3 linked regions of the Drosophila melanogaster genome follow. The protein of the gene in region 1 interacts with the protein of each later gene in a pairwise test. Each region holds a gene or a part of one and is shown in the gene's direction. Other genes may lie near its edges.

Region 1 (4,125 bases):
GATACGCTGAGGGAGAAGCAACTGAGCACTGTTCAACTTCATGCCGATGAGCTACAGGCTCTGCGCCTGCGAAACGAAGAGCTTAACGATCGCCTGCGGCAAATGGAACGCGATAATCGGGAACTTAACTCGGCTCGTCTGCCAACTGAAACGAATCTGGTGCTGCTTAAGGAGGACTTGTTGCAAATGAGGCAGCGTGTGGCATCTATGCAAACCGAAATTGACCAACTAAAGACCGAAAATGATCAAATAACGTTAGTAACAATGGAATTGCTGCTAAGCTTTCATATCGTTTATAAATTTGTTATTTATTTATTGGCAGCATGCTCAACGATCAAAACGAGCGCATCATAGCGGATTATCAGAGTAAACTTTTGGTGGCCGAGCGTCAACGACAGTCGGCGGATGTTCGGGCCAGCACCTTGGACTCCAGTCGGGAATCCAATCGCAGCGAGGTTACCCAACTCCGCATGGACTTAGGAGCTCTGCGGCAGACCTATATATCGTTAGAACACGAGAAGGATACGCTTCTGGTAACTTCATTTAATAATATATTTTCTAGAGATATTAACAATATTGTTATTTGCTTCACTAGCATCAATTGGATACCAAAACTGAGCGGGTATACAAACTGGAGTATGAGCTAAAGGATTGCAAAGAAAAACGGAATGCCCTAGAGCAGAATGTGAAGGACCTGGAGGATCAATTGCGGTAAGTGTGAGAATTGTTTAGTTTGTGCTTCAGAACCCGATACCAAAGAGTTTCAGAATAATTGACCTATTTACAACTCAATTTTTCTGCTAAAATGAAAAATATGTTATATTTCATTTCTAGACTCTATATTGTTAGTCTTTCAAATTCTTTTATTTCCCTTATCGTGATTTTCCTTAAATACAACTCGTACATTAGTCGATGTAATACATTAATGGCACTGTCTCATCCTATCGAACACGTTAACCGAATATTTCTAAAAACCACCTAAAAGAGAACAAAATGGTTAATTGAATAACAAATGATCGCATCGATCAATAAACACTGAGCATGCAAACACAAAAACAAAGGGTAATGGAGGTAATATAGGGTAAATTAGGTGGGCATGCGGTGAAAGAAGAATAAAAGTCATCACAACCGGACAGAAAATAGCTTGAAGATTGGGGATTTTAGGTGGTCCCACCAAGGTGCAGATCATTGAGAAACTTCGAGTTGAGTCGCTCGTTGGTTAAATACCTCGCCAGGCTGACACTTGGAGCGCTGCAGTTGCTCATGCCGCGTTGATCCGACTCCGAGGGCGTATAACCCGGTCGGCAGACGCACTTGGCCCGACTGGCGTGGACCAAAATTGAGGTGCCATTCGTGGTTTGCGATTTCAGTGGCTCTAGCCACTGACCCGCGCCGCAGGGTCCTCGGCTATACAGCTTGTGGCACTGCCCATTGATCTCCACCATTCCGGGCGTGGACTCGCATATATTCTGTTCCTTATCCGCTCCATCTCCCGTGCACTGCTGATCCAGATTGGTGAGGACACCGGAACAACCGCACATTCCATTGTAGGAGATGCCATCGATGGATGGCCTGGCGGTGAAGTCGAAGATCACCACCTGATGTAGGGCACACGGGCCTTGAGATCCAATCCTGTAGCAAGAATCTTCCGCTGGGAAGTACAGGCGATTCTTGCCACAGAAGTTGCGCACACAGCTGGTTCCGTTGACCAGGAACTCATTGGGTCCACAGGGACCCCTTGTGTACAGGCGATAGCAGATGCCATCGCTCCAGGGCACATAGCCCTCCTTGCACTGGCACTGGGCACGAGGCAAAAGCTGCAGGGTGCTGCCCGTTGTCTCCTGGACCTCGTCGGGTATGCGAAAGATGTGACCAGGTGGACAGGGGCCAGGAGTGTCTGAAAAATAGGAGAACATTAAATACGATATAGGAGAAAATTATGTTGAGATAGAATTTCAACATTTCCAAGGCGGTAATTGCAAATTAACGGGCTATGTAATCCCAATCCTACCCAGCTCATAGCACATTTGATGCGGAGCATGATAGTGCGGCAAGTGCCGCTGGCAGTCGCATCGACCGCCGGGCAAGAAGATGTGACCCGGCGTCGAGCAGGGTCCTTTGGTGTAGTGCTCATAGCAAGACTCCTCTGCCGGATAGTAGAACGAGGCCAAGTCGCCCACATCCTCGCAACGGCACTCGGCCAGTCCCTCCTCGTTGCGAACGAGGAGTTTACCCCGGCTGCATGGACCCTTTGCATGCCTCGCATAGCACTTGTTGTCCCTCGGCCAGAAGAGCATGTCCTCCGGGCAATGCAGCGGTCGCTTGCACGTACCCCAACGGTTGCCGGTTGCGGTTCTGGAAAGGATTTGCCTATAGTTTAGTTAACTTTTAAACATTTAATTGATATATACGGCACACATCATCCTATATCAATGATCGCCTTGAAGTGAGAAAGTCTGATAGATAATTGTTGATATCACATGAACTGTTAAGATTACTTCATTTTATTTTGAGAAGACATTAGACTTAAACAAAATTACCTGCGCTAGAAACACACACATCGGAAACAATGTCGGCTGATACTTTCGTAATGGACACCAAGGATGAATCGTTCTACGAGTGTAACATATGTCTAGACACCGCCCAGAATGCCGTGGTCAGCATGTGTGGCCATTTGTTTTGCTGGCCATGTCTGTACCAATGGATATTGACGAAACCCGATCACACAGTGTGTCCCGTTTGCAAGTCGGGCGTGGATAGGAGCAAAGTAATACCGGTGTACGCACGAAATGATAAAAGGCAGGAGGATCCGCGGGATAAAACACCGCCGCGTCCAACTGGAATTTGGTCGGATTACGCAAATGATCTCGAGTTGGGACTATTTTCGTACTTGCTTTTTGGTTTATTCTTTCCATATGGTGCCCTATCATCTTATCTGGATATGGACGAGCCACTCAATCCTGCTGCTGATCACGGCATAAGGGATGGGCAGAACGAAACACTCCTTTCTAAGTTCTTTCTCTACGTGGCCATTATGCTCATTATTTATATGATTGTAATTTAGCAAGAATAGGAATAAGATCAAAATAAACCATGATGGTGCAAATGAATCAGTATAACCGGGAAGATGTCGTCCTTTACAAATTATGTTCAGTGAAGTTTTCGGATAATTAGTCATTAATCTTTTTAGTATTGTGTAGCATTATGTAAAACAAATGTAATGAAAAGTAAATATTCAAATGCACTAGGAAACAAAACTGCATTTCATGTTTTAAACACGACAGGTTGTGTCGTAAAAGTAAAAACTGTATGTGAATGTACATACATAGGTTCTTGATGAACTTTCGTTATGCATAAAAACGAGATATCAAAGTAGAATGCTTCCGTTATTGCTTAAGTGCACCAGAACTTTCTCTTAACTCTTGATTAATGTTGAAACCCGAGTTTCGCAATCGAAATCAAAAGTTTCATACGACTAGAGAACAACCTGTAAACCTTCAGTGAAGTGAAAATGCGAACATGGCAGTTGCTTAATTCAAATAGTTTGAGCTAAGAACCGAACTCAACTCACCTCTTGACCTGATCCGGCACGGGTTGGAAGTACTCCTCGGGTTGGCAGGGTCCCCGTTCGTATAGCTTGTAGCACACATTATCGTGAAGCGGACTGAGTGCAGTTCCCGGAGGGCAGCGGCACTCGGCTGCAGGTGCATCCTTACGCTTGGCACTCACTGCGGTGGGACTGAGCTCCATGGTGGCCGGACATGGATAGCCGAGGGTGAAGATCTTGAAGCACTTCTTCAGAGGTGCCCAGTACAGCAGCTGCCAGCCACCGGACATGCTGGCGCACGGATTCTGTGCGGGATCACTCCACGGAGGCGGCACTATTCCGGCTGCCACCTGCTGCGGATTCTGGCCGGTGGTCAGTAGGAGGAGCAGGCAGGTGAGGATGGAGCTGCCCGCCTGCAGAGCAGCCCAGCAGATGAGCACTTTGCGACGCCTCATGGTGAATCTGAAAATCGAAAGTGTTTGATAAGTAAACCTATCCACACATCTAATCAAGAAATAATTACAATGGAGTTTCAGAAAGCTACATTTTATAGGATTTCTAGGATGCTAAACACCATA
Region 2 (4,820 bases), on another chromosome or scaffold:
GACCCACGGATGACGGTGGCCGCTTCCCAGCCCTGTTCCGCGCTGCCCTGCCCCGCCCTGCCTTTTCCTCCTCCAAATCTCCGGGCGGTTCTCGTTCGTTACGCTTCTGTAAGCTTTTTGGCTTGTGCTTTTTGCGGCTCCCGAACATTTTCGTGTTCGCATGCAAAATCCCAAATGAAGTTAGGGCCGGGAAAAGTCGACGGGGGAAATGCCGTTAGTTTGTCCGGGGCTGTCTGAGGTGGGGTTAGGATGGTGATGTGGATTGTAATGGCCTGGTCCACTGCATACGCTCGCATGTCGTTGTTGTCAAGCACTTGCCAACGCTTTCACTTTCCTCCCGACCTCTCGTCGTTGGCCCTTTCATCGTTGTCAGCGTTGTGTGGGTGGAAAATATAAGCCGAAAATGTTATACCATGGTACATTGACCTGCCCTGAAGGGGCCATTGTAGAATAGTAAATAGTCCATATATATGTATGTGGCCCAAGGCCGAAATCTGCAAGAGAAAGATCAATAAACAAGTCGTATGAGTTATTTTAAATTAGTTGCTCTTTTTAGCTTTAAAAATGTTTTATAAATTTGCAGAGAAAATAGAATCTAATCCTAATACTGACATCCGCTACTTGATTTTCAATTTCCGAAAGGTATTCACTTTTTACCAACTCAATAATCCAATCATGAGGAGCAGGCGAGCTAACGACTTGATTGGCAACTCAAGGGTTATACTCCTTCGACTGCAAGCGTATCTATTGCATTGAGCTGCAGCTGCCAGATAACTGACATTCTCCCCGATCGCCTGCTGCCTTGGCATTTGCATGTCTTTAGCGGGGATCAAGGATAAGCGTAGCCAGCTGATTGAGATTGAGTCATAGCCGGAACAATGCCGTCCAACCGTCAACCATCAAGCATCAACCGTCTGTGAAAGTGATTGTGATCGAGGCCGCAGATGCGGCAGTAAACACATCTCGGGATCGCCTTTCTACTCCAGTGTATCCTTGTATCCTTTGCTTTGCGTGTCACTCAAGCGATCAGCAAAACAACAACAAACAATGCAGGCAGGGGAAAGGAGTAAGCATCCTTTGTGGCTGTTTTGTTAGCTTTGATCGGAGCTACTTAGCATTTTCCTTGCAGGCTTTGTAGTCCCCTTGGAATTCCGCATGCCTCGCTGAGTTTTCCGCCCTGATCGAACGGAATAATACTGCTTAGATTTATAAAATGTTAAATATTTATGCATGCCATCGCATTCGGTAAGTCACCGTAATTATCTCTTCCGCGAATCTTAATCTTAGGATAATTGTTATATATATACGGTGTATATAAATATTTCCAGTTCTTAAATCAGATTTACAGGCTATGTATTATTTTGGCTATTAGTAATTTTTAGTAGTATTAGTATTGTTTATGTTTTTAGGGATGTCTTCGTACCCAATCAGGGTGTGCCATAAATATTTTGTCAAAATTTTAAGTGGTTGCCCTCTAAGTGCTCCCAATGTTAGGAGGCAGTTTAAGAAATGACTGGGTCATCTATCCACCAGCCCTCCAGCTTCTCAACTTTCCTTTGCCACAGCAGCAAGAGCAGGCTCCTGGAACTTTGGTTCGATACGAGCATCCTTCGATACACCAGCTTCGCTTAGCACCCCGTAGATTAAGGGCACGACGTTCGGTTGTGGAAGGCGAAGGCTCCAGAGGACTGGACAACGGAAATGGCGACTCGTCGAAAATAATATTTGTGCGGCGCTGCTACATGATGGCTGGATTGTTTTCGACTACAACTGCGATCCTTGCCATAATCCTGTCCAAGGTAATTCCTCCGGAGGCAGATCTTATAATGGCAGGATTCATAAGTGCAATGGTGTCCCTAATGTTTCTCTTTGTCTTCTGTATTTTGACCAAGTTGCGGAGTTTTTATTGGTATAGTTTCATCATGGCCGGGTTGTTTGTAAGTCTGGCAGGTTTGGGCGTTATTCTGCTTCTCCTGGAGCGGAACCTTTCCCGCGTGTGCATTGCCCTTCTGGTGGCCTCCGCCATGACTGTGATATGCTATTTCGCTGGCGCATGGATACCCAAGATCATCCTCCCCGGAGAGAGGACCATGTTCCTCCTGCTCGTCATTTTCGTGATGTCCTCAATCTTTGTGATGACCATGTATATCTTCACAGACAATTGGATCTACCAGTTGGTGTACTTCACGTTATTGGCCACTTTGCTAATACCCGCATCCGTTTACCATGCTCAGGTGGTTCATTCCAGGCGATTCCAGCTGCCCGATTACGAATTCGTTATTTGCGCCGTCAACATCTATCTGCACTTTCTGTTGTTCTTTGCGGCCTTTTACTTTGTCATCTGGGCTCCCAAATGGTGAGAGTTATAGGAGTTAATTTAACGTGTCCGTGTAAAATAAAAAGAAGGCTTTAATGAGAAAAGATACCAATTTGTAAATAAAAGATATAGAAGGTGAGCAGCTTTGCCAGGAGGTAAGTGTCAGGGTGCAGGCCAGACCTAGTCTTAACACTCGGTCCATAAGGATTTTTAACGGGATGGACAACATTTACCACCAGGACAACATCCGGCCGACGATCGAGCAGCTGGACCCAATGACCCAGTTCATCCGCAGCATCTATAACATTGGCCTGATCCTTATCGGAATTACGGTGGGCGCATGGATTCTGCTCATGCTGACCCATATTCACCTGCAGAGGTACCTTCCGTTTCCCTGCTACGTCCTGGCTCTAATAATTTTTCTGGTGATGATATGCATGCATTGTATCCCGAGAATATCCTACTACTCTCCCTGTAAGTGGTTCATGACAGGTCTGGTGGTTGTGTGTACCACCTTGTTTGGCTGCCATTTCATCCACGACTTGAGCCCGCTCATTATCAGTTTCGTGATGATCGGCGTGGCCCTGATCATTATGTTACTCAACTTCTCTGGGGCCATGTGCCCGCAGGAGTTCCTGCCCGGCGGTGTTTGCTCCACGCTGCTGATGATGGCACTGCTGTTGGTCTTGACCATTGTGGGAATCGTCCAGCTCTGCACCGGGAGTGTTGAGCTGCTCGACACCTTCGTCAGCATTCTGTTCCTGATGCTGATCATAGCGATCCCCATTCAGGCGCAGTTCAACCATGGCCGTCTGAACGTCGTGGAAGTGGTTCCCGAAGAGCACCTCATGGTCTGCACCCTGACTTTATACTTGCATTCAATGATGTTCTTCTTCTGCGTGTGCTACTTCATCCTGGTCGACGAGAGAAAGGAGGCCATCAGACAAACATCTGAAGCTCCGAAAATTTCACTCGAAAATGATTTTGATTGAGAGAAATAGCTGTCACTGTGTGATCGAAACTGATTAGCGATCTGGCAAGTTACTATGGTGTTCCAGACCAAAGGATACTGTCATCCAGTCTAATTACTTAGTGCGGTGTAGCCTAGGCGGTACAGAAAATATAAATATATTCTCATTGCAAGGCAATTAGAATAAAGCCAGAGTATTATGAAAAGTCCTAGTCTCAATATAAGAGAAAATGAATCACTTACTTTGCTTTTTTCTTCAAAATTACATTATATTGACCTAAAATAATTGATTAACACATGAATAATCGCAATCGGGGTTGGGGTCGTTATGGCCTTAGAACCGGAAGACCTGGTGGCGAGCCAGTTCCTGCGGAGGGACCGGAGGTCTTAGTCATCAACGAGCGGGAGTTGCGGGCCTTCATCTTCCGGGTGTACCTATCCTCCGTAGTGCTGTGCCTGCTGTCTTCCATTTCGTGGATCATACTGTCGGCACTCGCTGTGAGGGTCTACAAGGCAATTCCAGTGCCGCCGTTCGTTTGGCTGATATTAGCTTTCATCATTCTCTCAGTGCTCGGCTGCATCGCACAGACTCCAGCATTGACCTTGTTATGCTGGGGATTGGTGCTGGGATCCTTGTTCTTTCTCACCCTGTTCGGAGCGTATTATATGCATCTAGTGCGCGTCTGGGTCCTTTTGATTGCCATTTTGGTTGCCGGATCCCTGCTGGCCCTGCTGCATTTGTATGGGGCCAAAAGTCCGGAGGTTCTGCTACCCAACATTATCTGTACTTGCTGCATTTTTCTGCTGCTCACCGTCACCATGATCGTCCTGCTAATACTCTTCCTGATCATCAATGATATGCGGTATCTCCTGGCACTTGCCATAGTGTTCGTCATCCTGATCGCATTCATGGCTCCATTTCAGGCTCGTTTCATTTGTGGAAGGCTGCAGCAGGTGCCTTATGGGGAGACTGCGGATTGCGCCAATGGCATTTACCTACACTTTATTTTTCTACTCTCCTGCATGCTCGTTTTTGCCCTGTACTATAAGCTAGTTAATAGTTGAATAAAAAATATGTTGAGGCTGATGTGCAAATAGCCTAGAAATGTATTTGCGACTATGTTGGATAAAAACTGAATGGTTTTAAGTGCATGTTGTTGGCTTAAATTAAACCATCGAAAATCAATGAACAGGCCATTTGGTTTTTGATTGGTATACCTCAGTAATACTAGTGAACAATCTTAGCAAAATGTCGAATTACATCAATTTTTGAAATTTCTGTCTCAAAAAATTCGGATCGATGAGTTGTTGTCAGCATGAGCAAGTGGAATTGGAAGAGGAAGCAGACGAGGTGCAGCTAGTGTTTGCCCGTACTGTTTACATAGAAGCCGTACTACTGTGTTCCGCATCGGCATTTCCCTTAATGTTTATTGCGTCGCTCAAGATAAGCATTGTTAGAATCCTGCCGGTTCCGCCGTACGTGTGGCTGCTTTTCGCCCTCGCCATCCTGGCAGTCCTGATCTGCCTGCCCAT
Region 3 (4,557 bases), on another chromosome or scaffold:
TTAACTGTAACCGCACAAAACTGCCACGCCCACACTTTTTCTATCGTTTTGCAAAAAAAAAATATATATTTAAATAATAAATAAACCGTCCAAAACTGCCGGGCCCATATTTTTGAATTTTTTTTGGATATTTTTTCATAATTTAATTAGTCTTCTTAATTTCTATCGATTTGCCAAAAAACTTTTTTCCACTCCAACTTTAGCGCCTTAAATTCGGCAAAATTATTCGATATTTGTTCATAATTTTATAAGTTGCTTAAATTTCCATCGATTTGTCAAAAAACATTTTCCACGTATAATCTAACGCCCTAAAGCCGCCAAACCGGTCACGCCCACACTTTTGAACAATTTTTAATGTGTTCTCATTTTATTCCCCAATATCTATCAATATCCCAGAAAAATTATGAAATTTCGCGTTTGTATTCACACTAGCTGAGTAATGGGTATCTGATGGTCGGGGAAGTCGACTATAGCATTCTATCTTCTTTTTTGCATATTGTTCCAAAAAAGTATTAAAATATCTCGTTCATACTTTTAGCTGAGTACCGGGTATCGATATACCAAAAACATATTGGGCACACCCACTCTAACGTCACACCCACTCGGCGTCCACCATAACGCCTACAATCCACAGAAAAGCCGCAGCGGCCACAATTTTCGAAAATGTTATAAGTTTATTATTTTTTTATGTTTCTTGGTTAAAATTTGGAAGCGTTGTCATTAAGCGTTGGTGAAGTGCATCGATGGCGTAGATTGGTTCCCAACCACAACAAGAATTCCTTTTGTGTAATTGGCTGATTTGAAACCACGTCTATACGTGAATAACGCTTTTCGGAACCGCACCTCAAGACCAGGATCAGATTGGTACGCTTACCGTCTACCCGGTAGTCCTTACTGTCCTGATGCAGAGCAATAGTTTCGTAGATGGAGTAGACTTTTCCAACATTTAGCCGCACAAAGGATCCAATCACAGCCTCCGCGAAAATAGGTTTACCCAGTAAGTTCTTTATGTCGTTCCGTTTTAACACTGCTCGACTCAGCTGTTCCAGGTTGGATACGCGTTCATCGCTTTCAACGTTCGTTTGCGGATCGTTTTGGGCTGTATTCTCGCTCTCACTGTTAGGCGAGGAATCGCCGGAATAAGTCTCTTTGACCTCGATATTTACATCCTTACGCGTTTGTGCCTTGCAATCATCACTAGACTTCGTCTGCTCTGCACTGTCTTCGGAACATTTTCCCTTGCTCAATTTAATGGTGCGAATTGCCAATAATCGCTCAAAAGCATGTGCTGTTTTGCCACCAGACTCCAGTTTATTTGCGATCTTACGTCTTGTCCGTAAGCGCTCAACCATTTTTTTATACTTTTACTCTACGAATATCGGGTATAAAAAGTTTAATTGTAAATTCGATGAATTATTCAAAAATGCGAATCATAGGTAGGCCTCAGCAGGAATCATATTTATATGAACTTTTTTTTAATACTAAAACTACCGGATATTCAACTGGCAGTTTTTGTAATATTACAAATATGTTAAATTCTCGCAGCTGTTCAGTGTTCCTCATTCAATTTGCTTCGCTCGACATCGGCAAATATGAGTTTTGATATTGGAATTTTTGGTGGCGGCTGTTCAATAAGCACAAAAAACCGTAATAAGCTAGAATCCACGACAGGTGACTGAGTTAGCAGGAGAAAAAAAATATGCGCACACAAAAGCGAACCATTTTGTGTGGGTCTGGCGAGCAGTACGCGTATTCTTATTTGGCTAAATGACAAAACTTCATCAAAGTGAGCTTACGACTTCCTTGCTTTGATAAAAATTCCAATTTCTTTTTAGTGATGTTGGCTTTTGGCCGGACTTCCATTGGATATCTAATTGGAATTTAAAATGGCGGCACAATTAAATGGTACTGCTATATAAATAATTCTACAGCAATTGTTTGCAAGAAACACTAATTTAAGTAAAATGCAAATGATTTCCGGTATTAGGAGCACGGAGTGGAGCCAGAAGTGGTGCTCCGCATTCGAGGTGAGTGCGTTGGGGATGTATCTTCTGGATATTGCATGAGATTCGTATCCCCTCCACCTAAGTTTTCAATTGCGATTCAGTTTCGTTTCCATGTTGCAACTATAGCAACGACGACGACGTCATACGATTAACGTGAGCTGCATATTTTCGGCTAATTTTCTAATTAAAATGATATTTATGCATTTTTTAGCTGACAGAATTAAACATTCAGTGCCAAAGCCAATTTTTACAGGCAAAGTGAACAATGAAGCACGTACTAACCTCTCGCATAAAGATATTGACATTACATATTACAAAAGATAAGGGAGTAGGTATAATCCGTTTTAAAAGGTAGTGGTAAAGGTAAGGTAGACTTCATAAAAATCAATCAATTTTTTATCTGCTTTAGTCTTCCACGAGTTCAGCTGGTTTTCAACTTTGAAGTCCCTAAAGTTTTCATTTAACTTGCCAACGCAATACAGGAATTATTCTCCGACCCAGCAAGCATTTTAAATTGAAACAAACAAAACAATGTGTTTTGTTTTTTTTACCTTATTCATTCTAAATTTGTGTAACTTATACATATTTACAAGACCGCGCAGGCAAGTCACTTCTAACGTCTATATACAGGCAATACCCGATAGTTAACCAATATCCCTTTCTAAGGAAATGACCAGTCCCACGCCTGTTCTATTGGCCTTCGTTGTGCACATGGTGCTCCACACAACGCTCTTCATACATCTAGATCCGGGTATAATTGCAGACACCCCCGTCTTTGGTAGCCAGTTATTCTATTTATCAGTGATGGATCTGCTGTGCGACACAGAGGTAATACCCACGCACTGGAGTAACATTCCGCGGTGGGGAAAGTTTATCCTTGAGACCATTATCGCCATCCTTATTGGCGAAACTTTGATGGTGGGCGTATGGCTTTCCATGGAAACGCTTCTCGTCAACTTTATAAATGTTATAACCAATTGGTTGGGCCTGGGCAGCCGTACAAACACTAATTTCCAGGAGATCGGCACGATTTTATTGGGAGTTATCTTTTTAGTGATAGTGGGTGCCATTACAAATCGACCGGCCAAAGTTTGGAAAATGGCACAACAGTCTTGGAGAATCATCACACAACAAAGTCGTCCTTCGTCCAAACAGAAATCTTTTAAATAAGCAAAAGGACCCACATCGTTTTCGGTTCCTTCTATTAATTTGGGATACCATTTCTAGTTTATGTGCACTTTTTTATTAAAAGGGTGCTCAAAAAAAAAAAATTGGTTATCTCTAATTTCAAGTACCCATCTCTTTGTTCTTTTAACAGTGAAATAGTCAAATATAGTCTTTGATATCTATGCACCCCAATGCTTAATGAAGCTCGATATTCACAAAAGGATGCGATGCACCTTTGTAAATGTTAGCATACGACCTTTACTTAAGAAGAACAACAGGTTTTTCTAATGTCTCGATTCGAAGCCATAGGGCAATTAAATATGTCACGGGTGGGAGCGGAAACTTGTAAGACATTTAACTGTTTGGGCGCGCTTAAATGGAATCTGAGTGAAATAATTACCGTTGGAGAAAATGATTTCGAACAAATCATGTCTTACGGTTATTATACAAAAGGACATCCGTGATCCCTTAGGCAAGAAAATTCGAGAAACATAAGCTGCAGTTGCGCTAAAGGTGTGGGTGTAATTAGTAACATTTGTGCCACCAAACAATTAACATAGAAAGTGGCTCGAACTCTGTGAAGAACACATGTGCGATTGACTCTCTCTTGGGCCATTATGTAATAAAAAGCGCTACTTATGTTTACTTAATGTATTGTATATCCTACAACACGAAACTCAAAAAATTTGAGATAAAAGAGAAAAGTTGAGTTTTTCAAACTAGTATTTTAGACCCTTTACTCAGATAGTTGGTGTGTGATTAAGAAAGTTCAATAGTATTTTTTGACATATCTATAGAAATTGTTCGGTTTTGTGGGCGTGTCTCTGGAACCTGCTTGCTTATTTCAAATTTCTAGCTTTTCAAGTTCCTGAGATCGAGGTGTTCCAACAGACAGACGGACGGACTGAAGGACATGACCAGATCGACTCGGCTGGTAATCCTGACCAAGAAAATATATAGTTTCTATGGTCAATACATACTCTGCGTACTTCACGAATCTAATATACCCGTTTACTCTATAAGTAACGGGTATAAATATGTGGGTTATACCAAAGGCACTATTGTAATGTCTTTGGTTATACCAAAAAAGAACAGGTTATGGTTAGGGTTAACACTCTCAGATACCCGATACTCAGCTAGAGTAACTGCGAACGCGAAATTTCTAAATTTTTCTGGGATATCGATAGATGTTGGGGAATAAATGGGCAAAATTTTTAAAAAATTTCAAATCTTACAAGACTAATAAAAATGTGAAAAAATATCAACACATTTGACTGTATGGGTCTGTGCCTCTTGAATCTTTGCGCTGAATCTCAACATTCTATCTTTTATAGTTCCCAATTGATCCCGATTACAAATATATATACTTTATATCGTCGCTTAC

Evidence for each region.
Region 2: the proteins of CG32847 (region 1) and CG32987 interact in a two-hybrid assay, tested with the Drosophila melanogaster proteins (one large-scale study listed by BioGRID).
Region 3: the proteins of CG32847 (region 1) and CG42597 interact in a two-hybrid assay, tested with the Drosophila melanogaster proteins (one large-scale study listed by BioGRID).

The regions. Positions count from the first base shown.
Region 1 is NT_037436.4:15,119,053-15,123,177, forward strand, and holds CG32847 (uncharacterized protein), read left to right. Parts: upstream 1-2,519; 5' UTR 2,520-2,569; coding exon 2,570-3,064; 3' UTR 3,065-3,249; downstream 3,250-4,125. Other genes in the region: Cep135 (centrosomal protein 135kDa), read left to right, coding at 1-254, 323-533, 596-711; CG16959 (uncharacterized protein), read right to left, coding at 1,161-1,897, 2,012-2,355, 3,572-4,002.
Region 2 is NT_033779.5:8,861,320-8,866,139, forward strand, and holds CG32987 (uncharacterized protein), read left to right. Parts: upstream 1-2,491; 5' UTR 2,492-2,535; coding exon 2,536-3,309; 3' UTR 3,310-3,528; downstream 3,529-4,820. Other genes in the region: CG32986 (uncharacterized protein), read left to right, coding at 1,488-2,360; CG32988 (uncharacterized protein), read left to right, coding at 3,585-4,352; CG32983 (uncharacterized protein), read left to right, coding at 4,588-4,820.
Region 3 is NT_033779.5:22,063,312-22,067,868, reverse strand, and holds CG42597 (uncharacterized protein), read left to right. Parts: upstream 1-2,525; 5' UTR 2,526-2,608; intron 2,609-2,672; 5' UTR 2,673-2,675; coding exon 2,676-3,176; 3' UTR 3,177-3,265; downstream 3,266-4,557.